Linked DNA regions of Diceros bicornis minor. The protein of the gene in region 1 interacts with the protein of each later gene in a biochemical or structural test. Links are inferred from orthologs where the notes say so. Each region holds a gene or a part of one and is shown in the gene's direction. Other genes may lie near its edges.

The links.
Region 2: of the proteins of HTRA2 (region 1) and MAPK12, one has a biochemical effect on the other in vitro, tested with the Homo sapiens proteins (2 studies listed by BioGRID and IntAct, with this or other methods). The link is inferred for Diceros bicornis minor from reciprocal best matches to the Homo sapiens genes HTRA2 and MAPK12.
Region 3: of the proteins of HTRA2 (region 1) and CSN2, one has a biochemical effect on the other in vitro, tested with the Homo sapiens proteins (2 studies listed by BioGRID). The link is inferred for Diceros bicornis minor from reciprocal best matches to the Homo sapiens genes HTRA2 and CSN2.
Region 4: the proteins of HTRA2 (region 1) and LATS1 form a complex in vitro, tested with the Homo sapiens proteins (2 studies listed by BioGRID, with this or other methods). The link is inferred for Diceros bicornis minor from reciprocal best matches to the Homo sapiens genes HTRA2 and LATS1.

What each region holds. Positions count from the first base shown.
Region 1 is NC_080751.1:14,486,793-14,494,406, reverse strand, and holds the start of HTRA2 (serine protease HTRA2, mitochondrial), read left to right. Parts: upstream 1-4,598; 5' UTR 4,599-4,686; coding exon 4,687-5,192; intron 5,193-5,296; coding exon 5,297-5,501; intron 5,502-5,590; coding exon 5,591-5,785; intron 5,786-6,027; coding exon 6,028-6,114; intron 6,115-6,292; coding exon 6,293-6,398; intron 6,399-6,520; coding exon 6,521-6,590; intron 6,591-7,266; coding exon 7,267-7,362; intron 7,363-7,469; coding exon 7,470-7,614. Other genes in the region: ATP-dependent RNA helicase DQX1, read right to left, coding at 178-414; lipid droplet-regulating VLDL assembly factor AUP1, read right to left, coding at 1,463-1,499, 1,606-1,724, 1,911-2,026, 2,143-2,262, 2,394-2,496, 2,595-2,664, 2,907-2,980, 3,081-3,153 and 4 more.
Region 2 is NC_080764.1:545,544-553,316, forward strand, and holds the start of MAPK12 (mitogen-activated protein kinase 12), read left to right. Parts: upstream 1-4,766; 5' UTR 4,767-4,786; coding exon 4,787-4,911; intron 4,912-4,991; coding exon 4,992-5,121; intron 5,122-7,726; coding exon 7,727-7,773. Other genes in the region: MAPK11 (mitogen-activated protein kinase 11), read left to right, coding at 1-71, 528-606, 691-864, 1,195-1,274. UniProt on the Homo sapiens protein: Serine/threonine kinase which acts as an essential component of the MAP kinase signal transduction pathway.
Region 3 is NC_080747.1:56,461,060-56,468,013, reverse strand, and holds the start of CSN2 (beta-casein), read left to right. Parts: upstream 1-3,942; coding exon 3,943-3,993; intron 3,994-4,736; coding exon 4,737-4,763; intron 4,764-4,873; coding exon 4,874-4,918; intron 4,919-6,269; coding exon 6,270-6,314; intron 6,315-6,954. UniProt on the Homo sapiens protein: Important role in determination of the surface properties of the casein micelles.
Region 4 is NC_080778.1:28,144,478-28,151,502, reverse strand, and holds the start of LATS1 (serine/threonine-protein kinase LATS1), read left to right. Parts: upstream 1-4,010; 5' UTR 4,011-4,184; intron 4,185-7,025. UniProt on the Homo sapiens protein: Negative regulator of YAP1 in the Hippo signaling pathway that plays a pivotal role in organ size control and tumor suppression by restricting proliferation and promoting apoptosis.

The sequences.
Region 1 (7,614 bases):
TTTACTCTCTCTTTATTTAGGGAGTCCCCTGGTCCTCTACCAGCCACCCTGGGCCAGCCTAAGCAGTCTCCCTTTGCCCACCTCCTCTATGATCCCTTGTAGCCCAATCCCTCCTTGTCCAGGGAAGGGCCAGTTCCCTAGCCCCTCCCTTTGTCCACTCCCAGAATCTCCCCTGACCTGGGTGCTCTTGCCAGAGCCAGGCTCTCCAGACACCAGCACCACTCCACTGGGGCTACTCTCCAATTGCTCCAAGAAGATAAAGCGAGCAGCCCAGATGGGCAAGGCTCGGCGCTGCTCAAGCAGCTCGTAGTAGCGGGAAGAGAAGGGGAGCCCATCAAAGGGGTTCACAGCCAGTTCAGACTCCCCAGGGCTTGGGCCAGACTCTTCTGCCAGCCCGAGAAGCTGAGAGGCCATGGTGGCTGACTGGCAGGACCTACAGAAGGCAGGGCAGTCATTAAGGCCTCATATTTGGTGGCTAACACCATCCTCCCACCTCAGCCCTGATCCCTAACCTGTACCCTCACGTGATAATGTACTGGAGTCCATCTTTCCCAACATTTCTTGCCTGCCAGGAAATAGTGGAGATTTGAGTCTCCAAGTAAGGGAGTATCAAAAGTGAACTATTACCCTGTAGTCAGATAGTAAAAATCCTGTGACTACCACAGGGGTCCTCAGGGGCAGCAGGAATTATATGAGACCTGGTACCCTGTGGGGAGGTCCCCAGGGGAAAAGGCTAAAGAATAAGAGGAGGAGGGGGGCAGGAACCAAGGAACAGGGCCACAAGGACCCTGGATTCAAACCTGCTTGCAGCTCTGAGACGTGTCAGGATGGCAGCCAGTTCTAGACCCACCCAGGCAGTTACCACCAACCCTGACCCGCATGAAGTACAAAGGTAAATTCTGGCTCCACCCTGGGGCTTGGCTCAAACCCTGAACCCTAAAGACTGGTTTTGGGGTGGGGCCATTTGCTCCACCTTATTTAACCTAGTCAGGAGCCTATGGAAAAAGGCTCCAACCACCACACTGAGCATGTGTGAACTTTACAGACACCTGTGTACTGTGCTCGTTAGTGAAAAGCATCCTGGGATTTGCAGTTTTGCAGCTGTTTCTTCACAAATTAGGGCTCAACACCCAAGCTAGGGTCCAGTTGTTCCTGAGTCTTCAGTTCAGTTACAGTTCCTTAATATCACTCATCTCTTGACACGAGGAGGTGATTTCAGACAGTTCCATTCAGACCACTCCCCGACAAACTCATCCCCCCCAACCAATGGAAAAGGAACTTGCTCAGGGGGATTTTGACACCCAGAGAGGCAACAGAGACCTTGAGTGAAAACCCTGAATTTAATGTGATACTGGGGGGAGCCCCATCCCTCCCTTTTTACCACCCACTCATCCGGCCTGTCGTGAGTTGGGTAAGGGCTGCCCCCAGTCTCCGTCCTGCGGCTCTGGGTGCCATCTTGTGCTCAGTCAGCCTCCTGGGCCTGTCTCTCTGTGAATCGCCTACAGGACATAAGAAGACATTGTGTGGACTTTGCCATATTGGCCCCATAATTAGCTCCCTTCTCCAACCTGCCCCTTACTACCCATTGTCCTCTAAGCCCCTCACCTTCTTGCGTATTCATATAGTGCCTGCTTGCGCTCCTGTAGGCTCTCCTGCCGGGCCCAGGAGGACTTGGCAAATGTTAGGGCTGTGGGCTGAGGGGTCACCAGGCCAGAGCTGGGGAACTGAGGTGATCACAATGTCAGAGGGCTTGCGAAGTCATCATCATTAAACACGCATCGAATGCCTACTTTACAAGAGAGGCACTGTGCTAGGGTCTCAGGATCGAAAAAGAGACATCAGGGCTAGGGAGTATTTAGACTGTTCCATCCCACCCCAAGTCTTGGACCTGACCATTTTCTGGGTCTCACCTTGGGGGCTGAGGCTGTGGGAAGCGACTGGGTCTCTTCAGCAATGTCTTCAGGCATGAAAGCTACAGCTCCCTCAAGCAAATTAGTGATAGTCAAGTCTACACAGCCAGTCCTGGCTGGGGAGAAGGGAAGAGAGGAGAGGGGAGTCTGTTTCTCTGCTCACCTTCTCCCCTCACCACCCACTGTTCCTTTCTGTGCCTGTCTTCTTGTGTGAGGCTACCCTTTCCCATACCCAGGTCTCTCTGGATGACACCCAGTGGTACATGGGGTAAAACCTCCTTGACTCTCTGAGCCAGAGCTGCCAGCTGCACATCAGGAGAAGGGCCAGGGGAGGGAGGGAAAGAAGGCTGGGCTGCAAAAAAGAAATCCGAAATATGGTGAGTGGAGAACTAGGAGGAAGGAGAGGCTGACTAGCACAGGAATAGGGGGAAATCACAGTAAGCTAAAAAAACCCAAAAAGCTTTGTGTACAGAGACCACCCACCTGACTGGGGGCGCAATCTGGGGTGTCTTTGTCGCTTCATGTGCTCTGCTTTGTCTGCTGGAGTGAGTCGTGTCCCTGTCTGGCCCAATTCTTTGGCCACCAGCTAGGGAGAATTGGAAGGTTGGAAGTGTCAAGGTTTCAAGCCTTCCTCCCTCACCACCTAAGGAAAGACCCCACCTCCACCCCGCCTGTGTATCCTACCACCTGTTGTACACGGAGGGCAAACTCCTCATTCCCCTCCCCCAGCTGGCGATGAACAGGACGGAGCCACCTGCAAAAAACAATCCAGGAACATCTTGGGGACACCCGGGGTAGAGGCTGTCACCTTCTCCTCACTTTGATACTTTTCATGGAAAAGTGGTGGTGCGAGTGGGGAGATAGTCAATACTTTGTATTGCTTCTATGGTGCAACTTGATATTAAAAGATCTGCAAATGGATGGGGCAGAGGCAACTACTTCCTTGACCTTGAGGTGAGTGTCTCCCAGCCACCATAAAGTGAGGACAGTTAATACCTTACTTGATACACCGTGAAAGGGACGAAAAGCGACCACAGCAATTCTGAGACCCAGGAGGCATCTGACACCGTCTGAGGGGAGGGCATGAAGTGAGGTCTTCATGAAGCCAGGGCCAGGAGTGGGAAACTTCTGCTCCAAGACCCAGAGATTCCCTGTCCAACACGCACTCACCACAGAGACTAGGGGTCTCTGGACTCGCAGGGTAAGAGGTTGTACCACATCCTGGATAGAAAATGGCCAGGAACTAGAAGAGAGAAGAGAGGGTAAGATGGCATTCCAGCCACTCCAGGCAGCAGTTCATACCTGACTTAAAACAGGAACTGTCAAACTGTACAAGTAGATAAATGGAGAATAAAGAATTTCCGGGTAAAGAACTAAAACAGGACAGGAAGGAAATGAACTAGGAATGGAGTGGGTAGGGCTGAAGAAGGTTGTTAAAACCCAAGGGCCCCCAAGCCTGACCACCCACCACCCAGCTGGACACTGCTACCTATGCTCACCCACCTGAAGCGCAGAAGCCCCTCCCGGCCATTGGTAGCCTCTTCCTCGGGAAACAGCAGCAGAGGGGTGGGGGGAAGCCTCGTGGAAGCACAGAATCTCTTGAGTGACTCCACCAACTCCCCCTGCCCATCCACCTCCATGAACCCCCGAGACCAGCACACAAAGCTGGGGGGACTATTGAGTAGAGGCTGGGAACGGGAGAAAAGAAAGCAAAGAGAAAAGAATGTTGGGAAGTGAGAAAAACTGACATATGAAGTAGAGAAGCGGGATTAGGAGTAAGGCTCAGTAGCTTGTGGTCCCCAAGGAAAACCCGGGCGGGCAGAGGGGCAAAGGGGAGCCAAGAGCTGGGCCCCAGAGAACCGCCCCGTGGCGCTCTCGGCTTCGCCCCCCACTCACGGTGCTACAGCTGGTGAGCAGATTGACTACATTGTGATCGAAAGGTGTCACGTGGTTGGAAATGAGGACCCTGACGCGGTGATCCCGGAGTCCAGAGTCCTCCTGCCGGGCCACAAGCCCCAGCACCGCACACATGGTCCGCACCACGAACCTAGGGACACAGGCAGTGGTGACTGCACAGCCTCGGGCCGGACCCAGCCCTGACCCTCCCCGAGCGCCTGGGTCAGCACCTGCGAAGGACGCTCTCTGGTAGTGCGCAGCTGACCAGGAAGACGTGGATCCCAAGAAAGAGGCGCAGGACGAGGAGGCAGAACCCGACAGGAGCGTAGAGCAGCAGCGCGAGGAGCAGGAAGCCGTCACCCGGGAGCCTAGGGGCGAGAAGCGGGGTGACTGGCCGCCGAAGGCCGAGTGGACACGGGAGCCGGCCACTTCCCGCCGGGACTCTTACCGGTGCGAGTCGAAGAGCCGCTCCGGCCCCGGCGCCGGGGGAGGTTCCATCGCTAATACTTTAGGGGTGTCGGGCCCCTTCCACCGCCGCCGCCATCTTCACGCCCCGCCGCAGGGGCTCCTGGGAAGGCGGAGTCTTAGGGCATCGTCCCAGGGTGCCCGGACCCGAAATCCTGAGGCGCCCCGGAAGGGCTAGCGGTCCCAGCATGCCTCGCGGGCCCTCGGGCCACCTCAGAACTTGAGTCCTGCGGGGACCACAATTCCCGACAGTCGCGGGGCGGGGGCGGAGCCGGCCTCCTGGAATCCTGGGTCCCGGCGTGCACTTCTGGAGGACTTCAGGTACCGGCGTGCCCCGCGTCCCGCTGTCCGCCCGCTCGGGTCCAGGGCGCCGCCTCCGTGTAGGGCGGGCGAGGAGGCAGCTGAGGCGGAGCTGATGGCTGCACTGAGGGCGGGGCAGGGTGCAGGCTGGAGCCTACGGGGATGGCGGGCTTTGGGGGGGGTTCGCTGGGGGAAGGGACCCCCGTTGACCCCTGACCTCCGGGCCCTGCTGACGTCAGGTACTCCTGACCCTCGGGCCCGAGTGACTTATGGGACCCCCAGTCTCCGGGCCCGGTTGTCTGTGGGGGTCCCTGAACAACGGACATGTCTGACATCGGGGACTTCAGATTCCCGAGCACAGCTGACTGCGGGAACCCCAGACCCCCGGACGCGGGAGGACTCAGGGACCCCTGGAACCCGTCTGCGCGTGTGGCTGGCGGTGGCGCTGGGCGCCGGGGGGGCAGTGCTCTTGTTGTTGTGGCGCGGGGGTCGGGGTCCTCCGGCCGTCCTCGCCTCGGTCCTCGGCTCGCCGCCCACCTCTCCCCGGAGCCAGTACAACTTCATCGCAGACGTGGTGGAGAAGACGGCACCTGCCGTGGTTTATATCGAGATCTTGGGCCGGTAATGGTGGGGTAGACCAGGAGGCATGGAAGCCGCGGGCTAGAGGGCGGGGGGAGCAGGAGAGGTCCGAGCCCCCTCACATCCGTGCTTTCCCCGCATCCCAGGCACCCTTTCTCTGGCCGCGAAGTCCCTATCTCGAATGGCTCCGGATTCGTGGTGGCTGCCGACGGGCTCATCGTTACCAACGCCCATGTGGTGGCTGATCGGCGCCGAGTCCGTGTGAGGCTGCCTAGCGGCGACACGTATGAGGCAGTGGTCACAGCTGTGGATCCCGTCGCAGACATTGCCACGCTGAGGATTCAGACTAAGGTGGGCGTCCGGCCAGGCCGGGTCTGTTTGGGGCTGTGAATTTGCTCGTATCTCCAGATGACAGCTCTCTTGTACCCATTCTCCCTTAGGAGCCTCTCCCCACACTGCCCCTGGGACGCTCAGCTGATGTCCGGCAAGGGGAGTTTGTTGTTGCCATGGGAAGTCCCTTTGCACTGCAGAACACAATCACATCTGGCATCGTCAGCTCTGCTCAGCGTCCAGCCAGAGACCTGGGCCTCCCCCAAACCAATGTGGAATACATCCAGACTGATGCTGCCATTGATGTGCGTCCTGATGTGACAGAAATGACAAACTAGGTTGGGGGAGAGGAGAGATACTGTGTGGTGTAGGCACCAACTGTGTTTGATGGTGGATAAGGCTATACACAGAGGTTGGGCTGCAAAAAACGTGGCCACTCATTTATGGGCTGGGAAAGGAGAGAATTTGGAGAAAGTGCGGACATCCTGATTATGCCCCCAGGCATAGAGTCCCTGGATCTCTTCCATATTTTCTTCTTGTCCTGCAGTTTGGAAACTCTGGAGGTCCCCTGGTTAACCTGGTGAGTGGGATATCCTTCTTTCCAAGAATCCCTGCCCCAGGTCAGTGTGGAATGGTAGGTTTTCCCTAATTCAATAATGTTTGGTCAAGTTTCTGAGCAGTCTCTTATAGGCTTTCTCCCAGAATCCAACCTGATCTCCCCAATTCCCCAACACTCCCAGCTACGCTTGTTAAGGTACCCCCATCTCCTACTGTTTGTTGGGGTTAGGGAATAGTGGGCTCTGTCCCTGCAGGATGGGGAAGTGATTGGGGTGAATACCATGAAGGTCACAGCTGGGATCTCCTTTGCCATCCCTTCTGATCGCCTGCGAGAGTTTCTGCATCGTGGAGAAAAGAAGAGTGAGTCTGGCTTAGGGGGGAAGGGGCATTCATTGGACCTTACTGGAGAAGGGTTTATTGGGAGGATGGGGAAGGGAAGGAAGGATATAGCTGGGTGGGGCTCATTTGTCCCTCTATCACAGATTCTCATCTTGGAATCAGTGGGTCCCAGCGCCGCTACATTGGGGTGATGATGCTGACCCTGACTCCCAGGTATGAGCTTTAGGGGTAGTGACATGTAGGACCACCAGTATACTCGGTGGTGGGCAGCTGGCATTTCTGTTGAGCTTTGTTTTATTCTATCAATTTTATCTTTATCTAAGATGAGTTGCCTCACATGTGGAGCTATCAGAAGAGCTGTCCTCTCTCATCATCTTGACTTTCTCATCCCACTCCATTTTGCACACTTGCCACCAGATTTATTTTATCTCATTACTGCTTTGACCTTCAATCCATTAACCTGGTGTTTAGGGGCCATTTTCCATTTGTCTCTAATTCAACCTTCCTACGTGAATATACTCTGTTCCAGCCAACCTGATTTCCTACTCCCATGTTTTTATTTATGTTGTTCTTGTTTTTATAGTTAAATGTCAGACCCATCTTTCTAGGCTCAGCTTAAGTTCTACTCCCTCCTTAAAGCTTCTCTTAGGATTCTAGACTGACCTTAGTGCTATTGATTTAACACTGTGTCATTTGGAATTAATTATGTTTTATATACATGTCCTGTTTCCTAACTGCCAGAAGCAGAAAGTGAATTGCCTTTGTATCTGGAGTACCCAGTGCATGCCCTGTCCATACAGCTGTCAGTGTGTTGATGAGAGATTTGAGGTGAATCCAAGATGGGGAGAGTGCCTTGGTGTGGTTAACCAGGTGATCTATGTCCCTTCAGCATCCTTGCTGAGCTACAGCTTCGAGAACCAAGCTTTCCTGATGTTCAGCATGGTGTGCTCATCCATAAAGTCATCCTGGACTCCCCTGCACACCGGTGAGGGAGAGACTGCAGTGGGAGGTGCGGATGGGTGAGGTGTGCATGTGCCTTTGAACTGGGCTGGCTACTCCCTCCTTTCTCTCTTTGTCTGTCTTTCACCATAGGGCTGGTCTACGGCCAGGTGATGTGATCTTGGCTATTGGGGAGCAGCTGGTACAAAATGCTGAAGATATTTATGAAGCTGTTCGAACCCAATCCCAGCTGGCAGTGCGGATCCGGCGGGGACCGGAAACACTGACCTTATATGTG
Region 2 (7,773 bases), on another chromosome or scaffold:
AGCTGAAGCGCATCATGGAGGTGGTGGGCACACCAAGCCCCGAGGTTCTGGCGAAGATATCCTCGGAACATGTGAGTCACCGGACACCAGCTCCCTCTGCTGACCAAGCCCCTGGCACTCTGGAGGAAGGGGCAGTGTGGGGATAGACTGAGCACCATGTGGGGGCAGAGGTCACAGTGGAACAGAGCCCAAGGAAGATGCCCGACCCCTTCAGGGGGACACAGGTGAACAGGGAAGACATTCCTGGCACGAGGGACGGCGAGGGCAGAATTGCAGCACCGACAAACAGCGCCCTGGCCAAGGACGGTGGGCGGCACCGTGCCAGGTCCTGCAGGCATTGAGGCCCAGGCGAGGAGCTGGAGCCCCCAGGTCCAAAGCAGGGGAGGTCTCTGGTCTGTGCATGCCCCTGCCCAGGCCTGTGGGAGTGAATGAGTCTGGGGCTTCTTTTGGCAAGCCCCCTTCTGGCTTAGGGCTAGGGGAGGTGTGGGGGTGAGCAGCCCCCTCAGGCCCTTCCCATGTGCTCCCAGGCCCGGATGTACATCCAGTCCCTGCCCCCCATGCCCCAGAAGGACCTCAGGAGCATCTTCCGTGGAGCCAACCCCCTGGGTGAGGATGGGCTTGGGGTCTGGGCTGGGCTCCATGTCTGGCCCTGGATGCAGAGTTGACCCCCCCACACTGGCTCCTCTGCAGCCGTGGACCTCCTGGGAAGGATGCTGGTGCTGGACAGTGACCAGAGGATCAGTGCAGCTGAGGCCCTGGCCCATGCCTACTTCAGCCAGTACCACGACCCGGATGATGAGCCCGAGGCCGAGCCCTATGACGAAAGTGTTGAGGCCAAGGAGCGCACGGTGGAGGAGTGGAAGGGTGGGCCTGAGGAGGGCTGAGGAGGGAGGTGGAGCCCAGGATCCCAGGGTTGCATTCCTCCCCAGGGGGTCTGGGAGCAGGGACAACATTCCGCACCCCCCCCACCCCCGCCCGATGCCCTGGTGGGACAGCTAGAGATGAGGTTGGGTGTGTCCAGCGGAGGCTTGGGGGCAGCACAGGGCAGGCTCTGGAAGGAGGCCCAGGAGCTGAGGCTTCTCTCGGAGGACGGTGGTCCTGGGCTGGGTAGCTGGCACCAGATAAGCTGGGCAGGGGTGCTGGGCTGGTGGCAGCATGAGCTCACCCTTTCCCCTCCTTCCCCTCACCCCTCAGAGCTCACCTACCAGGAAGTCCTGAGCTTCGAGCCCCCAGAGCCACCGCAGCCGCTGGGCAGCCAGGAGACTGGGCAGTGAGGGGAATGCTGCCCATCACCACACTCAAACTCAACGAGGGGCCTGAGCCTGCCTGCCCCCCTTCCTCAGCATTTGGGGTCCCACAAGGGGCGCCACCTTGATGGCCCGGCAACCCTGATCCCTGGCCAGGGACGCCCCGTCTGCACACTGCTCCTTGTGGGGAGTCTGCACACACATGTGAATGCATGCAAGTGTGCATGCGTGCGAGCCACGGGTGTAGGAGTCTGGGCAGAGTGTCCTGGACTTCCACCGTCCTTCTACCCCCTCCCAGCACCCTGGGTCTCCTTTGGGACCTCACTGGGGGACTGGATGCCGTATGGGTTTCTCCTGGGGAGTGTGTCTGTCTCCAGATCTCCTTAGTCCTGGAGGGCTGTCTCTGGGGGTGGTGCGTTGGCGTCAGGGCCCCCTGGAGACTCAAAGGGAGGGGTCGCAGCGGTCAGAGCTGCTCAGCCTGGAAGCGGGCACTACCCTGGGAAGTGCTGAGACCTGATGGTCTGAGAGCTGAGCAGGGTCTTTCCTGGGGGGTGGCAGGGCGGGGACAGCTGCCAGGTGTCAAATCAGAAAATCCACCTGAGCTGCATGTTCACCTGCGCTGTGTGTGGCACAGACGCACTTCAAGGCACATGCAGGCGTATGTGCACCTGTGGGTGCCCAAGGCCCAGCGGCCTGACTGGCAGGAGGCCTGAATTGGGGTGGCTGTACTATTGCCTCCCCTCCCCACTGTTCCTGATGCCTGGGGGGTGGGGGTGGGGCTGAGATCCCACTGTGCATCATGAGAGGGGCTCCGGTGGAGAAGGGGCAACCACGGGAGCAAGAGCCGGGGCTCTCTCCTTGGGTGTGGGAGCTGCACCAGGTTTCCAAGGCATGGGGCACAGTGCGAGTTGGGGAGCTGACGGGCACGGGGCTTCCCACCTTGAGGATGCTAAGAAGGAGGGCACACACCGATGTGGACTTGGACTTGACCCTGGACTGTGGCCCTGACTGATGAAGATGCCTCTGCCTGCTCTACCTCTGCCCGCCCTCTGGCCCTGCAGCTGAGAGCTGGGGTGCTCTGGTCTGAGGGTCTGCCCTCATCTTCCCTCCTTCCAGAATGGAGCTGACCTACTAACCTCTGGGCCAGGACCCTGCTCCACACGTGTTGTGGGTGTGAGTCTCTGTCAGGTGGTGACCTATCACCTGGCAAGACCAGGGAGGTCTGAATGTCAAGTGCCTGCACCAGGGTTTCGCAATAAAGGGGGTTCCCTCTGGCTCAGCTTGTGTCCCAGGCTCCAAGCCCTGCTGCCCCTCTTTCCCCACTGCCTGGAGTGGGTGGCTGGCTCTCCGAGCATCACACCTCCAGCTGGCCTGGCCCCACCAGACTCCTGCACTAGCCAGATCCCTTGGGCCCCCAGTGAGACAAGCAGCCATCTTCGGCACGCTCCCTGCTCCCTGAGAACCCAGGCAGACCTGGGGGTGGGGGGTGGGGGTGAGTCCTCCACCCAGGCCAGTGGGCTCTGAGGGGGACAGGGTATGATGGCCACCCTCAACTTGACCCCAGCAGGGTAGCTGGGGATTCACTGGGCAGGCTTGGCGTCTGGTCCAGATGCAGAACTGCCCCTCGACTCAGTGGTCAGGGTGGCCACTGGGTGACAGTTGGGGGTCTCTGGAAGCAAAGGCCTTTCCCAGGGCTGGGCTGGGCTGGGCTGGGTGGGGGAAATACCTTTCCTCTTTTTCCTGGTTAAGGGGAAAGAGGGCCACTTCAGCCTTCGACCTCCTGCTCACTGCAGCTTGGGGGGCGGGGGGGACAACGACCCAGTCCTGACAGAGATCAGGCAGGGTGTCCCCAGGAAAGGGACGTTCTGTGCCCCTGCCCTGGGTCTTGGGTGGTGGAGACTATCTGGGAAGTGGGCCTCCAGGGGCCTGGTCAGTGTGGCTAGTGGGCCTCAAGTCTTGGGGAACCTCCGGAGACTGGGCTGGGCCAAGTCCTGGGGGTGGGGTGGGGGATGGGAGCAGAACCCCGGGAACAAGCCCCATCTGGCGGTGTGTCCTGATAGGCAACCCTGCTGGACCCTGGGCCCCAGCACAGGGAATAAGGGGTCCAGCTGGGGGACTTCCTGGAGGAGGCAGGTAGAGTGCCACAGGCAGTCCAGGGCATGAAGGGCACGGGTACAGGCGGTTGTGGCTCCCATGACCCCAGGCTGCCTCCACTGACCTCCAACTCCTGAGGGCTCTGGATCACCAGCCTCACCAACCAGCAGCCCAGGTGTAAAGCTGCTCTGGCCAGGCTTGAGCTGCTGATTCATGGCAGCCAGCTGGGCAGGGCACAGAGGGCGGGACAGGGGGCCCTGGGAATCCTGTTACCCTACTCCTTCTCAGACCCCCATCGCTGGGCTAGGGGAGGATGTGGCAGGGGGCTGGGAGCTCTGATCTCCAGGAGCATCTGGTCCAGGATGGGTCCCACTGAGGGGTAAGGGGGCGCTGAGAGGCCCAGTAGGGCCCTCCTTCACCCGCAGGGTCAGGCACACCTTCCTGGAGAGAGCGGAGAGGCTCAGGCTGGGCTTTGAAGGACAAACAGGAGGGAATAAGCTGGGCAGGGGCTGGGACGCGCAGAGGGACTTGCGAATGCTCGCAGCAGGCTCCCCACATGCCAAGTAGGGGGAGAGAAGGGAGCTGGGGTGCACAGGGCCCAAGGGGAACCTACAGGACCACCTTCTCTGGCTCCCTGGGGTTGGGAGGCCTGGGGTCTGTGGTCACAGGGAGGGGTGTTGGGGATGCAGCCTAAGTTTGGGAGACAGAACGAGCTCTCCCATACGGACCCCACAGGTGCTGGGGACCTCACACTGGGGAATGGATGGATCAGGCGGGGGTGGGGGGCGCTCAGGTGTGGGGGGGTGGAAGTTGGCGGGCTGCTGGACAGTGGCGTAGGGCTGGGGATAGAAGTCCGACGGCCTCAGGCTGCCCAAGACGGGCCCAGCGCCCTGGGGGCATGGTTAGTGAGGAGGAGACAGGAGCCCCAAGCTAAGACACCCCCGACGCGGGCCCGGGGGTTCAGCCTGAGTGCGGGGGCGAGCCGGGGGTCTCCGACACCCCTTCCGGTCCGGTTCCAGGCTGGGACTGAGCTTCGGGGCGGCGCTCCCTCCCCCTCCGTCCCCTCCCCCCAGTCTCGGGTGCTCCCGGGCCACAGCCGCCTCGGGTTTCCGGAGGGGCCGAGGGCGGGCGGGGGCGTCACGTGCGCGCGGCCCGGGGGCCGGTTGGTCCGCAGGCAGGGGAGGGGCCGCGCGCTACGCGGTCTGGGGCTGGGTCGGGCCGGGGTCGGCGGGACGGGAGAGCCTGGAGGACGGCGACCCGGAGGGAAGAGCCGGGAGCGGCAGTGCCCGGCGGCGGCGGCGGCGGCGGCGGCGGGCGGGCGGCGTGGAACCGGCTCTCCCGCGCGGTGGCCCGCGGCGCGCGCCCAGGGAGCCCGCCGATCCCGGTTCCTGGTCCCGGGGCGCGGCGCCCGTGGGGTCTGCGGCGGGGGCGGTGCCCGGGCCGCCATGAGCTCTCCGCCACCCGCCCGCAGGGGCTTTTACCGCCAAGAGGTGACTAAGACGGCCTGGGAGGTGCGCGCGGTGTACCAGGACCTGCAGCCCGTGGGCTCGGGTGCCTACGGCGCCGTGTGGTGAGCGCAGGCCGCGCGGGTGGCTGGGCGGGGTGACCCGGCCCTCCCTCCCTCCCACCGCTAAGCGGTGCGTCCCGCAGCTCGGCCGTGGACAGCCGCACGGGCGCCAAGGTGGCCATCAAGAAGTTGTACCGGCCCTTCCAGTCCGTGCTGTTCGCCAAGCGCGCCTACCGCGAGCTGCGCCTCCTCAAGCACATGCGCCACGAGAACGTGAGTCGCGCGGGGTCCTGGGCTCAGGACGCCGCGTCCGTCGGCGCCGCTCGTCGCCCTCCTCCCCGGCTCCTAGGCGTCCCCCTGTGCCGTGGGGCGGGTGTCAGGGCACTGTCCCCGAGAAGGGTGGGCGGCTCCAGTTGGTGAGGGCAGAGCCCCTCCTCTCTCTGAGGGAGACTGCTGCCCCAGGGCTTGGTCCTCTCCTCCTAGGCCAGTCCCTGGGCAGGACTTAGCTCCTTGGCTTCCTCCTGGGGCCGCATCTGGCTCCTAAGCCCAGGCTCTGGTCAGGGGCCGGCCACTTGCCCAGGCGGATCATCCATGTCTCACCCAAACGCTGCCTCCAGCCAGGAGCCTGAAGTTAGAGGACGCTCCAGGGAGAGGAGCGATTTTCCTGGAAGGGGCACTTATCCTCTTCCCCGCTGCCCGACCGCAGGCCCCCTTCTCCAGCCGGTCCAGCCCCTCCTGAACCCACTCTGCTCCAGTCTACCTCCTGAGCCTCAGCCCTAGGAGTTGGGGCCCTGGGAACACAGAGCAGGCATAGTGTTGGAGTCAGCATCCTGGCTGTCACCTCGGAGCCTTGGGGTCTGGGGTGGTGAAAGGGTTTAGAGAGTTGATGTGTGGAGGGCACTGGGCGCAGAGACGCTGGCTTCATGTCCATGGGGGCTTCACGGACAGTGGGGAAGGGACAGATCTGGGCGCTTACCAGTTGTTTCCACATCTGCCCGTGGGACACAGCTGCCATGGGCCTCTTTCGTGGCTGTTGCTGGCTGCTAAGAGCCCTTCTCTCCGCCAGGGGAGCTCCTGTTGTTTCTTGATGCAATCCTCCTGCGGCCATGACCTCTGCCCCCTCCCACAGAAGCCACTCCTGTCTCACCCCACTTCTGGGCCCAGTCTGAGGCATGGTGGTTTGGGCACCCACAGGTGGTCTGACTCCTCCCGGGTCATCAGAGCCGCCAGCACTCCCTGGAGGGAATGAGTCCTTGTGTCCAGCCGGAAACTTGTCCCCTTGGTTCCTGGCTGATGCCCATGCCCACCCTATTAGCCCCTGGCTGGCTCTTCATTCTCTCAGCCTGCCCGTCTCCGCCCTTATCTCTTCCCAGGTGAAATCCATTCATGGTGGACCCCAGCCCAGCCTTGGCCTCACTACCTCCTGGTCACACCCAGGCCTGTCCCCGTGAGGGCAGACAGGCTTCATCCGGTTTCTCCCTTACTGCCCCTCACTCCCACCCACCCACCCTTCTCATCCAGCAGGGTCTTTGGGCCTTCTGTTCAGTTGCTTCCCACCCCTGATCTGGCCCAGCCCCCTCCTGGGGCCTGCCCCCCAGCCTGTGCTGGGGCCACCCCACTGTGCGGTGGGTCCTACCATCCCCATCCAGCTCCTCACCCGCCAGCACCCAGCACTGCCTCCAGGCACCCCACACACAAGCTGGGAGGCTGGCCTATTGTGAACCCATTTCCTTGGGAGGAAACAGGCTCTGAGAGGCTGTGGAGCGGCTGCCACGTGCTCTAGTCCTGCCCCTTCCGCCCTCCACTTCAAGCCTCTCCCTCTCCTTCTCCCCTACTTCTGCTGCGATCTGCACCGCAGAGGCACAGAAGTCTCCGTCAACCTGACAATCCCCTTAATCTCGGGGATCCGGTCCTCTGTTCTCCTCCCTCTTGCTACAATACCCTCCCAGTGCCCCAGGCCCCTCTCTGGATGTCCTGCTCTGTTCTCTCCTCCCCTGCTGCCCATGGCTCTGGCCCCAGTGGCTGCAATGGTCATCTAGCTGTTCCTCCACCTCACGTTCACTCTTACCTCACTCCGGTCTGCCCCCACACAGCAGCCAGGGAGACACATTCAGTATCATGCCTGTTTAAACCCTTCCTCGGTGGCTCTTAGGATGGAAGCCAAGCCTCACCTGGCTGTGAGGGCCTCCTCCGGCTCCCTCTGGCCTCTCCTTGGCTACTCCCTGGCCTGGGCCTCGGCCACCTGGCCTCCCTCCCCATGTTCCTCAAACGCTCGAAGTGTTCTCCCTCCTGCCTCGGCCACCATCCACATGACCTCTGCCAGGTGTCCCCCCTGCCAACCGCTCGGATGTGAAGGCCTCCCTGGGTTCCTGGAGGCCCTGTCACTCTGAGCCCTGGGGCCAGTTGTCACATTACCTGTCTGCTGTCCATCACCTTTGACCAGGGGTCTCTGGGGTCAGGGGTTTGGTCATAGTGCTGCCCGCCTGGGCCTCTCCAGCAAAGGAAGAACCTGCCAGATTCTAGCTCTCCCCCAAGGGGCTGTCCCCACCCTGATCCTGGGTCTTCAAGGAGGACAGGAAAAGGGGGAGGAAGGGTCAAGGGGCTGGAGCTCCTTGGACGGCTGGAAGCTGACCCAGACTTGGGGCTGCCCCTCCCCCAGAGGATCCCAGCTGTCACCATCCAAAAATAGCCTGTGTCTGTGGGCATGTGTGCCAGGCCGGGTCGTGCTGCCAGTGGGCAGAGCCAGGCAGTAGGGGGAGACGGGTACAGCTGCAGGGGGCTTTCCTGCCTGAGCACCGTATCAGCCTCAGAGGTGTATTCGAGCTCCCGCGCCCTCCGCTGTGTCCCTATCCCACTTGGTGCTCCGGCCCCTCCCCAGGTGATCGGGCTGCTGGACGTGTTCACTCCTGACGAGACCCTGGATGA
Region 3 (6,954 bases), on another chromosome or scaffold:
CACTAGGTTACTTGAAATATTGCCATAAAGACATAAAATCCAAGAATTTCATGATCGTTCCTTCTTTTAAATCTCTAATATCTTCCCCTAATTCCAGTGAATTATGTCACTCTACATAATCGAAAATCAAAGACATTTATGATCTGACTCCATCAAACCTCTGCAATAGTAACTTATACTCTAAATCCTCTTTGTTTTTTTTAGTGTCCTCAAGGGGATTCCAACTCCTATCAATCCTAGGAGAACCTGCCCAATCATTTTAGGTCATCCTTTCACCTCCCAGTGCTATATCAGACAAGGCTGCTGCTATTCATAGGGTTTTCACGGCCAAGTTTTTGGAAGTGGGTGGCCAGATCCTTCTTCCTAGTCTGTCTTATTCTAGAAGCTCTGCTGAAATCTTTCTACCATGAGTGACCCTCCTGGTATTTGAGATACCAGTGGCCTAGCTTTCAGCATCACAGCAACATGCAGACACCACAGTACGGCCAGCAACAGAAGGGTGGTGTGGTTCCCTCACCAGGAAACAAACATGGGTTGTGGCAGTGAGAGTGTTGAAACTTAACCACTAAACCACTAGGGCTGGCTCTATATCCTCTATGTATCCTAAAATACAGAACCCATAAAGCTTGGTATTTTGCTCTTCAAGCTCCTGTATTTCTTTCAGCCAAAATGCTTTATTCCCATTTAATCTTCTTTCAAAATTCTACTCATTCTTTTGAGATTCAATTAAAATACTAGCTCCTTAATGACTGGCTGATCCTGCCCACACTCAGCACCAATGCTCCATTCCTCTAATCTAGGCATAATTAAATTCTGCACTTGTAAGCCCAAATGCTACATTGATAGCTAAATTTTATAACAAACTCTGAAGGAGTTAAAATATGAGCACTGCATATAATCAAATAGATCAAATATGTAGTCAGACAGATCTGGTTTTCAATGGGATTTTTCCATTAACAAACAATATGATTTTGAGTAAGTTACATAACCTTTTGGTGTCTCAATTTATTCAAATGAAATCTGGAGAAAAGAGGTACCTCATGACATTTTTGTGAAGATTGTACAAGACAATGTCTGTAAAGTGCACAGTGCCTGGCGTCGGGTTGTTACTAAATTTTTTAAAAAGCTATTATAATTATTATGCCTTAAATAGAAAAGCTAATCAATATTTATCAGGTAAATAACACTCCATGACATTCTGCAAAACTTTTATAACATATTTACTAAGGATTTTGCCTCTAAAAGCCTGCCAAATTACTTTTCTGAGACGTTCCATTACAGGAAGGTTTATTATTCTTGTTTACAAAATATTGGTTTGAAGTGAATGATTTATTTTTCTCAAATCAAGTGGCCCTGAGAGCTAAGCAGTTTGCCTTACATGACTAAGCTATCATCATGGTCTTGTTATCTTGTCAGCTTTTTTACTGCGGCGTGAAACACTAATAATTGCTCAGGTTAGTATGAAATTGTGTCCTTTGTGAAGGCCCCATGTATCTCTGGTGCTCATATAGAATTCCCCCACAACTGAGGTGCTGAAGACCCACCTAGTGCCAAAGAGACCTAATGGTGTCCACAATAACTTGGGGACTGGGCTAGAGTCTCGCTATCCTTTGGTCATTGTCTTTAGTTATTAGACAATTTCATTTCCTGGACAAATTTCCTTTATTAGCTGTGAATTGCTCCCTTGTTAAATTGTTCCCCAGAACTTCTGGTGACAAATAATAGATAGAAATCATTTTCTAATTAGGTGGACTTCTTGGAATTCAAACTCACTATTGATTTTATTTCAAACCACAAAATTAGCATGCATTAAATGTAGTATATAAACAGCAGCAAAAGCAGATAGACCATCATCCACTTATCTCCTCCTTTGCTTCTTGTTCTCCACCTTGGAAAAAGGTAAGAATTTCAGATATAAATTTGATATGTCCCCCCTTCACTTTTATTTCCAACTAAGTTGAGATATATGAAGAAAATAATTGCTTAAAATATAGTCTTTGAAATAAGGGTTTTTAAAATAGTGCTGGCACTATTTTCAACACATAGGTTAAAAAAAATAGAAGTACCTATAGATTGGTAAAAATTGCAATGACTGTATAAGATTTATGAGTCTAAGAAAATGTAGTAACAGTGATTACTATTTTTATAGTACAGGACTAGTTAACAGGCTATATTAAAAGATCTCTTCCCTGAAAATCTCTTCCAATTTGATTAAACTTACCACGGCCATAAAAGCAAATATATTTAAATCATTGTTTGGAGATATGAATAATTACTGGGAAAACTTTATCCAACAGGTAGTCTATAGATGGAGCATATTGAATCAAGAAATTGAAGGAGTTGTTTGGGACTATGCACTACTTGAAATGTTTATAAACGATTTTTTTAGAAGAAGAGTGTATTCCTCAAACTAGATTAGAACATCCACCTTCCCACTTTATCATTTAGTTTATAATATTTCAAAATAATATTAAAATAGATACATGAAATATAGAATTAAGTTAAAAAGAAACAAAGTGTTTTACTCTGTAAGAAAATTCTAGATGGTACGGAGATGACTTGGAAAAAAGAAAGGAAGGAGAAGATTTGAAAGAAAGAGTAGCTTAGAATATAATAGTTAATAATGAAGTTCTGGTTTAAAAATTGGTATATAAAATACTAATTATAAAATAGAGAAAATGCAGTGGGATCCTCCTTACATGTAATGATCTATAGTAGACTACTATATTCTTTTTTTGAGTCTGACAATAAAAAATTATTTGGAAACTTATGGAGGTCTTATGCAAAGTAAAATTAATAAAGAATTATATAGCGCCCATGAGAAAAATCCAGAAAAAAAATTTTTCTCTAATAAAGAGCCTTCTAATATTGGAAAGGAAATTTTGCTGATGAATTAGGGACTTTTTTAATAAAATGTTTTTATTTCAGAAATTTAGTTTAAAAAATTGAGATTGAAGATTATATGTCAAGGGATATTGGTGGCACAAAAATCATTTTTTACAAGAAATTATAGAAATCCAACAAAACCAAACATTTAATACATTTTGGTCAAAAGTATTAACATATATTTTATGTTATGCTACAAGAAGGAGTAGCCTGGAGTGGGGATTGGGTAAGAGAATCTGACCCTTTGGTAAATCATCAAGAGATCAGAGAGAAAAAAAGAAGCATAGTTTATGATCTCTAAAGTTATGTGGCACAAAGAAGAGACATCACTATGTGTGTGGGGATGAGACTGAGTAGTGGGTATAAATGGAGAAGAAGCAAACCAATCGGTCCAAGAAAGCATCTGGATAAGTGGAGTAAATAAGGGAAATGGTCAAATGAAAATCTCAGTCTTATTGGAAATAAGGAGATATGATTAAACCAAATATTAATGGAAACTGTTTAGTTTAGTAGAGGAAAGATAAAAATAAAGTATGATCTTCTTCTTTGTGTGAACCTTATTTGGTCAGTTTCCTCCCAAAAGAACTGAGGCTCTATCAGGGCTGAGACCTTAATTGTTCCATTGCTGTAATCCTACCACTTAGACAGTGCCTGGCAATAAAAGATGGTAAAAAATATTTTAGAGATAAGAATCAATTAATAAACTTTCTGTAAATATTTATAACTCTTTACTGTCTTTCAAAAAAAAAAATCCCACAAAGTGTGAATGAGATGAAAAGAGGGTAGAATAGAGCCGATACCTGAGAAAATCTGAATGGTTGACAAAAAAGTACGAAATTGATATGTAAGGGCAAGGAGCCATAGTAGATTCTGAACTTGTTTGCATGATAAAACTCCTATTAGTATTTTTTTTCTAAAACACAGACATTTTTACTATACATTATTTTTGGTTTCTTTAAAAGGAAAGTGAAGTGACCCTAGCTAACCAAAAAAATATATTAGATTGACCAATATGTTACCATTCCCTCATTTCCTCATTCACAGGACTTGATAGCCATGAAGATCCTCATCCTTGCCTGCCTGGTGGCTCTTGCTCTTGCACGGGAGGTAAGAAAATCTCTATATAATTAAGATATAGTGAACTATCTGCCTACGTGTAGAGAACAACATCACCAATATTTTAAATGTACAAATAAAGCAGAATTTCAAGAGATTTTTTTCTGATTTCTAAGAAAATAATTTACATTTACCCACTACTTCAACAGTGCATAGTAGGGCTACAAATTTGGGTCAAATGCTCTCTACGCCACTGTGCCACGAGTCCCTAAAGGAAAAGCAAACAAACCAATAAGCAACAAACAAAACAAGAAGAAACAATTATGAAAACCACAAAAAAGAGTAATATTTCACAAATACAATTGCATGCATGTGCAAGCTAGATAAATATATCTTATTCTAGTGATGAAATATACATACCCTAGGGCAGTGAGCCAAATCCTACCTGTGTCTATCCAAAGACATACAGAAGGTGGAGTATCATGCAGTAATCATAATGATAAACGTATTCATAATCATAATAAAAAGTGTTTAATACAAACTAAAATAACTTCTTTTCTGTTACCTATCAAAAACTTTTCTTCATTCAGGTAAAATAAAAATATGCCAATCAAAACTTACTAAATATAAAAACCATAAAAACAATTACCTTTCAAATCTCTCAAAAGACATAACATTTTTTCTCAAGTTTGTGAAAGAGATAGCTCCACATAAAGAAAGTAAAAATCAAGTAGGAAAAATGTTCAATAATGAGTTAGCTATAGAAACTAAAATGGTGTTTTTTTTCTTTACAGAAGGAAGAAATTAATGTATCCAATGAGGTAAGATATTTTTATTCAGAGAAAATTTTCCAACCATAAAATAGTAACATTCTTTGGTGATCTAGGAGAAGGTGGTTGTTGATTTTTTGGTTTTTGTTTTTCCTTTACAGACTGTAGAACGCCTTTCAAACAATGAACTAGATTCAAGTCGTGAGGTAAGACAACATTTATTCAGAGGCAATCTCCCAATTTTGGAAGAGTAAATGCTGTGCTATCTTTCTATTGTGTTACATTAGGGCAGTTAAGCCAATGCAGCTATGTTCTGACATATAAATTCTGATGTAAACTTCCATGATATATATTTAAGGACAGAATAAATGTCTGGAAGATTCAGTATTCTAGCACTTTCTAAGTTGGCTTGCTACTTGAAATTGTGTCACTGTGCTCTCTTTTTTTTAATGGGGAAGATTAGGTGTGAGCCAACATCCGTCCCAATCTTCCTCTATTTTGTATGTGGGACACCATCACAGCATGGCTTGATGAACAGTGTGTAGGTCTGCATCCGGGATCCGAACCTGAGAACACTGGGTGGCCGAAACGGAGCCCATGAACTTAACCACTAAGCCATCGGGCCAGCCCCTGCCCTCTTTTTTTAAAATGAACTGTACAGTGCTGTTTTCTGTCTCCAGCTCTCTCTGCGCTGACATCATTCACTGTTTTGACATTTATTGAGTGTCCTTTGTGCATCAGACATTGAGTAGGAGATGTGGTGCAAACTGAAAAGAGAGATGCCCATAGTATAGAGCTCGCAATGTAGTGGGAGGGCAGACATGCAAATGGATACGTTTTGTAATTACAATAGTTACTTTGGTAAATAAGAGGCAGTGAAACTTAGTGTCATCCTAAATCTGCCCGGGAGAGTCAGGTAGTTATTTACCCTTGCATCATTCTTTTTGGGTCTGTCATCACCTGTTAGTTAAATGGTACATTATTATACTTTGTCTCTTCACAAAGGTAATCAGATTCTTAGGAGATGTATTTGTTTCTTATAATTCATTTGAAGCCTAAATACAACAAGTAAATTAAGAATGATTAACAGAATGGATCAATGGCTATTACAATGTATTATCAATGAATACTGTTCTTTTAGAATCTGATGAGATATTAGAGACCATTTGTTGTCATAGGAAGAGAGCATCTATTAAATGCCTCTTTTTGTATTACATTTACTAATTGTCTTCTCTCTCTTGACTGCATTCATCTGTCTTTTTTTTTTTATACAATGGGCTTATACAGAACACATGTTTCAGCAATTATCCTGAGTTTTTAATATTATCAAACAAGGTGTCCACATTAACCTATTAAATGCCTTCATTTTCTGATTTATATTGACAAATAAGAATTGTTCATTAAAACTAAACCTAATTTTATTTTTATTTTTCTGAAGGAATCAATTAAACACATCAACAAGGTAAAACCCTCATATTAAAAGTACATATTTTCAAAGTTTCCTATATTTAATTTTTACAGATGGTAACATTTCTTTATATATGATTTGTTCTTTAGCAGAAACTTCAGAAGTTTAAACATGAAGAACAACAGCAAAGAGAGGTAATTTGTTCATGATGAGTACATTTCTAAAATTATTACGAAATATAACACGTATAAAACTATGTATATGTTCAGTCTGAAGAATGGTAAAGACATAAATGACAATATAAGAAATGAAACATTGACAAAGTCAATATATTTTTAAGATGTAAATGCATTATTTAAACTCATTATCAACTTCCAGAATACAGAATAAACATCTAACAATAGCTGTTGATTTACTCATTTTACCAATGGTATACCTGTTTTCATTAAATATTAATAGAGACAATTCTAAGTTGTGAACTAGGCTCCTCTTATTCTCAAGATGGATATGCTGATGAAAGACGGTAGAAAGGCATATGGCATAAATCCCACTTTGATCATTTATCAGCTGTATAACATTGGCCCAACTCTTTCTGTAATTCAATTTCTTCATCTGTAAACTGAGACCATTCATAACCCTCGTAGGGTTAATAAGCTCACACACAATGAATATTGAATGATTTCACATTAACATTTTGTAGGATTTATATTAACATTTGTGAATACATGAATTTCCTAAAAGTATTTTCATTAAAAAGATGAGAGAAATGAGGCACAAAACAATTGAATATACAATTGTGTGACAATATCACAGTTATTAAGTAGTAGAGCTTGT
Region 4 (7,025 bases), on another chromosome or scaffold:
TGGAAGGTACCTTGGAGGGCATCTCCAACCTAAATTTAATAATCCTTTCCATAGCATTCCTAACAAATTATCATCCAGCGTCTACTTGGAAATACACTGTGATCAAGTTTCCCATTCCCCAGTGCAGCCTCTCCTTTGGACCACTCTAATTGTTACAGCATTATAGCAGTGTTTTAGTGTGTCAGTGGGATCCAAAACAATCCTGTAAAAAAGGTAGAATCATGTCATTGTGGGTTAACGAAGTGACCACGTGAACCTACTACGAGACAACCAAGTCAGTTCATCAAATCTGCATTATGTTGGGGTACTTTACCATAAGGTTTCAGTAAATAAATGAATTTTCATATACTGAACTGAAATTTGCTTCCATTTGTCTTCTTTCCTCAGGAGCCACAAAAAACATTTAATTCCTCTCATCACACATTCAAATATTCAAAACTACGTATTGTAGCTTCCTTGCAGTAAACCTTTTTGTTTCTTGTGGGCAAGGTTCCTTCCCAGCCTTTCTTGCCTTTCTTGGCTAAATCCTGCTTACGCTTCCAGTCTCCTTTTAGGTGTCATGTTCTCAAGAAAGCGTTCCCTGGCCTCTGACAATCTGAGTTAAATTGTACTCTGCTTCAGAAGCCCATTGTGCAGAGCGTATATACGCTTACAGCTGTGTTAAGCAGCCTGGCTCCCTCTACTGGACCACAAGCTCAAGTACAGAGCCCATGTCTCAGTTTTGTATTAACAATGTTTAACAAAATACCTGATCCATAGTAAGCACTGAATCAGTGTAAATTGAACTGAACTAAACTCACAATCTTGTTTTCTCTTCAAAAAATACTCCCATTTGCCAAAGGTCATCTTTAAAGTGTGACTCCCAAAATGAACACTGTTCTGGGTGGTGTCAGCCTTGCTGAGAATATGACAAAATCCTACTCTCCTGATTTGGGGTATGATATTCCTTTGTACTGCTGTCTCAGCTTATTGTAACTAGTCTGACATTTGTTCACTTAGACTGCTGCTAGTTGAACTGAAACTCTTCAATTTTCAAACATGATACTCCTAAGCCATACTTCCCATATTCTTGAGTTAATGCAGATGGTTTTGATCCTTGCTATAGGTCCATCCTTCTCGTTCCGAGAAGATAAATTTTATTTCAGTATAGGAAAGAAGGAACAACCTCCTTTGAATCTTGTCTGTAGAAGCTGATTATTTTCAGAATTTCCCAGCATGCTTTCTACACTCTCATCCCACTGGTTAGGAGATAGTTAAAGGGACTGAAGGGCTTAGGCCCACTCCTAGAGTCCTCTAAATTACCAGTGACACAAGTTATTGGTATTTGGCTACAGTTACAGAAATATTTGTAAACCAAACCGATTTATTGACATTCTACCCCATTTATCTTGCTGACAAAGCTACCACAAGAAGCATACTAAGTTCACTAGTGTATAGTTAATATCAAACCTTCATTTAAGCTTATGGTATGGATGTGGTATCTAGCTCAGACTAATTATGAAGCAGTAGTGATGCTCTTGTTCTACAGACATAAAACCTGGGGAGACCCAAACAACGATATGAAACTATTGAAACTTATTTCATTGGTATCATTCTGAACCATGATTAACGTTAAGTGGCAATGCAGAAAAACTAACAGCTACATCCTAGACTACGGTCATCTTAGCATCAAAACAATTCCAACATTTCACTACATTAGAGTTGTACAAAGAGGGAGAAAACCACGGGAGGGAGGGTTGAGAAGGGAGAAGTGGAATGACTAGAATTTGCTGATCATGTTAAAAAAAATTTTTTTTTTTTTTTGGTGAGGGCGATTGGCCCTGGGCTAACACCCATGCCCATCTTCCTCTGCTTTATATGGGACGCTGCCACAGCATGGCTTGCCAAGCGGTGCATCAGTGCGCACCCAGGATCCGAATCTGCGAACCCTGGTACTCTGAAGCAGAGCACGTGCACTTAACTGCTGCACCACCAGGCCAGCCCCAACTCTTCACTCCTTAACTGTGGGCTGGTCATGGTCTAGAGCCTTCCCCTAAGGCAGCATGAATTCCCAGGAGGGCTTATGTGTTCAGGGCCACACTGTCTCCAGACTTCTTCCATGTGTACTGTCCCTCTCCCTACAGTCACTCAACCATGAAATCTGGCCCCTACATTTGTTAATAAAAACAAAATGAAACCAAAAAACCCCACTTCAGTGAGGCATTGAGGAGTTGAGTATGCTGAGGCTAAACCAAGGGTTTTCCATCACAGCAGTACAAAGACCTTCAAGTGCAATGGCAGGCACTGCCATTCTTAGACATCCAGCACCCCAGAAACTATTCCCCTGGTCTTTCCCTTCCATGCCCACCCGCAGTCTCAGCTGCTTTCCATCTTGTCAATTCTTCTCTCTTTTCTCTGCCCTTCTCTCCCCCTACTTCACAGGAGTAAGCCTCCTAGTCCTAGAAAGAGCAATTCACTGAGCTCCTTGAATTATCTAGGAATTTCCCTCAACATAGTAGTTTATGGAGATACTCACCTTTAGGCTTAAAAAGAATTGAAGCGGGGCCGCCCGGTGGCACAGCTGTTAAGAGCGTGCGCTCCGCTGCAGCAGCCTGGGGGTGGCAGGTTTGGATCCCGGGCGCGCAGGGACACACCACTTGTTAAGCCATGCTGTGGCAGCGTCCCATATAAAGTAGAGGAAGATGGGCACGGATGTTAGCCCAGGGCCAATGTTCCTCAAGAAAAAAGGGGAGGATTGGCATCGGATGTTAGCTCAGGGCTAGTCCTCCTCACCAAAAAAAAAAAAAAAAAAAGAATTGAAGAGCTGAAATGAAGAAGTTCCATGGGTTGGTGACAGAGGTGACAAGATTCTGAGGGCAGTATGCTCTTCCAGATACATATTGCTTCTGGAAAGGGCAAGCAGGCCTGTGAACATATTAGATTCATATGATTATATATTAGATTCAAAGGTCTTTCTTTCGGGTCAGAAAGACCCGAAAAACAAGGTCTTTCAGTGGCAGAAAGTAAGACCTAGTGCTATTAAGCGGCGCACCTTGGGTCGTATCCTCTACCTTCTACAAACTCTGCTGGTGGAACACAGATGTTCAACCAAGTGCTCTTGGAATGTAACCTTTTCTTTTAACAGAGGTTTTCGTAACAGGGGTTTTAAGAGGGAATTTGAACTTCTGGATACAGTAGTCAGTAACTAGTTTAATATCAAAAAAAAGAAGTCTTTAAAAATTTTATAGACAGTCTCTAGTAGAAAAATGATGAAAGGAGATGTTTGAAAATACTAACTGGAAATACTTTCCAGAGGCAGAACTGGCAGAGGCGCTTTTACAAAGGGTGGCCGGTACCTTCAAACATCATAAACCCAAAGATCCCTTCGCAAACTTCCAACTCAACTTAACAAGAAATAAAACCTCTTCTCGCAGTCACCGTTATTCCGGTTATGACAATAATGCCTTCCTCTTCCACCGATTCGGCTGACATTAAAAATCTCTAGACTCTGTTCATCTGTCCGGGTTCAAGAATATATTAATCTGGCTGATTCAGAAAACACTCACGCTCACGGATTTACTCGGGGGAAGAGTGCTCAACAAAATCAACTTAAGTCAAAGCCTCTGGAAACCGCGACCCCTGAGTCCTCAGCGAGCTCTCAGAGGGCGCCTCATTCCCGTTTCCTTCGGGGAGTCAAGCTCCTCGAGACGCGCATCTTTACCTCCGTCCACAGAAAGGGCTCAAGTGAAGAGAGAGGGAGACTGAAACGTGAGGGCCGGGAGGGGAGAGCCCACCCCGCCGCCCGGGACGAGGCCCCGGGCAGCCACGGCGGGCACGGGCGACACTCGCCGCCCGCAGAGGGGCGCGCGGCCGCCGGAGAGCGGGGGCGGGCGGGAGCTCCCGGGCCGCGGCCCCCGCGCAAGCGACGCCGGGAAATGCCCACATCCGGGAACCCCGCGGCGGAGCGCGGTGGCGGCTGCGAGTGGAAGGCAAGATGGCGGCGGCGGCGGCGGCGGCGGCCTGCTGCTAGGGGGAGAGCCAGGTCTCGCGACCCCGCGACGGGCCGCGCTGGCCCGCGGCACCCCGGCGCCTGTCCCCGCCCTGCCCCACCGGGACACTCGGGGTCCCTCCCGGGCCGCGCCCCCGCCGCCTCGGCGCCCGCCTCGGGCCGTGCCCGCTGTCCGGGAGCCCCGCTCGCCCCTCAGGTAGGTCGGCGGGCGCAGCGGGTGGGGCGCGCTCTCCGCCCGAGCCGAGCTGGCGGGGCCGCGGCCGCCCGGCCCACGCCCATGCCCCTGGCGGGGTCCAGGGCTGCCGCGGCGGGCGGGCCGGCGGCCGGACCTGAGCGGAGCCCGGCCCCGGGAAGCGGGGGTTGGCCGCGCCCGGGCTGGAGGGAGAGCCCCGGGCTTCGCGGCCTGGGAGGTGCGGGTTCGGCTGGGAGGAGCCGGCCCGTCCGCAGGCCCGGCGCGGACTGCTCCCTCCCACCTCCACCCGACCCCCTGCTCGCGCCGGACAGCGGTGATTTGGAAGGAAGGGAGCGAACGGGGGTTCTGCAGGACAACTGCAGCAGAAGAGCCACAGTTGTTCGCGTCCCGGGGGGACCCGATCCTGGACAGACCTGGAAGAAACCCTGGGAACTTCTGTGTCTAGGCCACTGGAGTGCTTGGTTACTGCTCCTGGTTGGAAGGGGTGGGAGAGATGGAGGGGTCTCTATGGAGTAGGAGTGTATATAAATACAGAAGATGAAGGAAAGAAAATTAGGGGAACGTTGTTGATTATAATCTCAAGAAGAACTTGTGTCGCAAAGAATGACTCCCAGGTGACTTGATTTAACCCCATTCTCTGACTTCTCCAATTGAAAGTTATTTTCTAAGGGAACAAAGTTTAACGTTTCTTGGCCCATATGTTAATATGACTTAAAATATATATCATCGTCTGGAAGTTGTTCATAAATTTAGTGAAAAATACGTGTGGCCTTACGCACAAATAGTATTGTATCACTTCAGTTTTGGAAATGGTGTTGAATGCCCGGGATCGTGAAACTTGTCGGGGCTGTATGGATTATTTATTGAAGATTAAAAATTTTTATCAAAATTCTCCATGAGGAAGAAAAGATAGGACATTATAATTGGAATAATTGTTCTCTGCTAAAATACCTACATTTGAGGTCATTTCTGTCCTTTAATAAGTTGACAGACGGTGTAAAATGGGCCAGTTGATTCCCTAAGGCAGTGGAGGAATTTGACTGATTTAACAGTAAAAGTAGCAGCATTGTGTTCCTCTAATCGGCTGCTACTGCAAGAAACTGGATCATGGCACATGCTGGGAAAGGTGCATTCTTTCTGTTCTGAATGTTTATTGAATATGCCTTGCCACTCTCCAAAAGCAAATAAAAAATACGTCTGCTACATTTTTTTGGTATGATATCTGGAATTCCTTCTATAGGTTGAGTTTTTATTTTTGTTTTTAATGCTAGTCCTTGTTATTCTATATAAATATAGCCTTAGAACAGTTCCAGCTCTGGTTTTTCAGTTTTCATTCTAGATGTTGTTTAGATTAGTGGGGGGGGGGGGGTTGTAGACCGAAAAAGTTATTTCGTCATTTGAACAACATTTTTATCAAGTAGAAATGGCAGTCATTTTTCAGCATGAAGAGAGAATATAGTGATTGTTTTCAGTTTTGATCAATTGATTCTTAGTGAATTGAAGAAAATGCCCTCACTTGGCAAAGACTCTTGAATATTGCTGTCTGAACAACTAAGATTATGCTGCTAAGAAAAAAGCCAGACATATTGCTGTTGCTGTTCCCATAACTGATTGAGTCAAAGCGTTGAGACAGGCCATCTTTTTTATAAACCTGATTCAACCCAGGGTAATACTCTGAAGTTTTATTATGTAATGGTATCTGTTTTTTCCCTACGTTGGACAAGTTATCAGTAATATTTGTTTGGATTTACTGACGTTTGCATATTTGATGAAGGTCTGAACTTTCAAAGAGATGGAGGTTTTATCTGTTCAGTCTAATCAATATAAGTGTCCCTTCAAAGAATGAGTGAGTCGTGATCCCTGCCCTTAGGAGAGTCAGGTTGGAGGTATGATGAGAAGAACCCTGGGTGGTTCAGGATGTGTGAAGTCCATTCCTAGCATGACCTCCAGCTGGCTCCATGACCTTAGATAGGCCACTTTACCTCTCTGAATCCATTACTTCATCTGGGGGGAAAAAAATATATATATACACACACACACATATATATATCTGTAAGACACCTTATGCTCTATGAATCTGTGATCTAGTAGGAAAAATAAGACAAGTACAAGAATAGGGCAAAAACGTAAGTTTTATTTGATCATGCAAAGTACATTTGGAGTTCAGAAGAGAAGAATAACAACTGACAGTTCAGTGAAAGCTCGGTGAAGGAGGTATTTGAATGGTACCTTAAAGGTTGGGTATAATTTCTATGAGAAGAAATTTGGCAGGGGCTCTCTCAAGAAGAATAAACAGGATGATTAAGGACATGAAAGTCGAAAAGCACAAGGTATGTTAGCTGAAAGCAAGTCATTTGGCTTGGTTAGAGTATAAGGTACAGAGGGGAGAATCTGGGAGGATAATGGAAAGAGGTAAGGTAATAACTAGCCGTTATTGAGTCGGGCACTTATTCTAAACATTTGATGTGTATTAAACTTACTTAATTTTAATGCTCAAAATAACCCTATTAAATAGGACCATTACTGCCCATATTTGAAAATGAAGGAGCTGAGGCACAGTTTGCCGAGATCACACAGCTGACTAGTGATAGAACTGGGATTCATACCCTCCAGTTTGACTCCAGAGCTCTGACTTCAACTGCTAAGTTAGAGTCATTGAGGGCTCTAGAGTAGGGAAGTGACATGATAACTGTTTTCTAGAAGACTAATCTGGCACCAGTGTAGCATGGGTTAAAGAGTTAAACTGTTTTGCTTTGAAGAGTTCTTTAACAAATTATCCATTATTAATTTGAATTTTCATATTAGCAAGGGTGACTAAGATTTGTTAATGCTAGTGTTGACCAT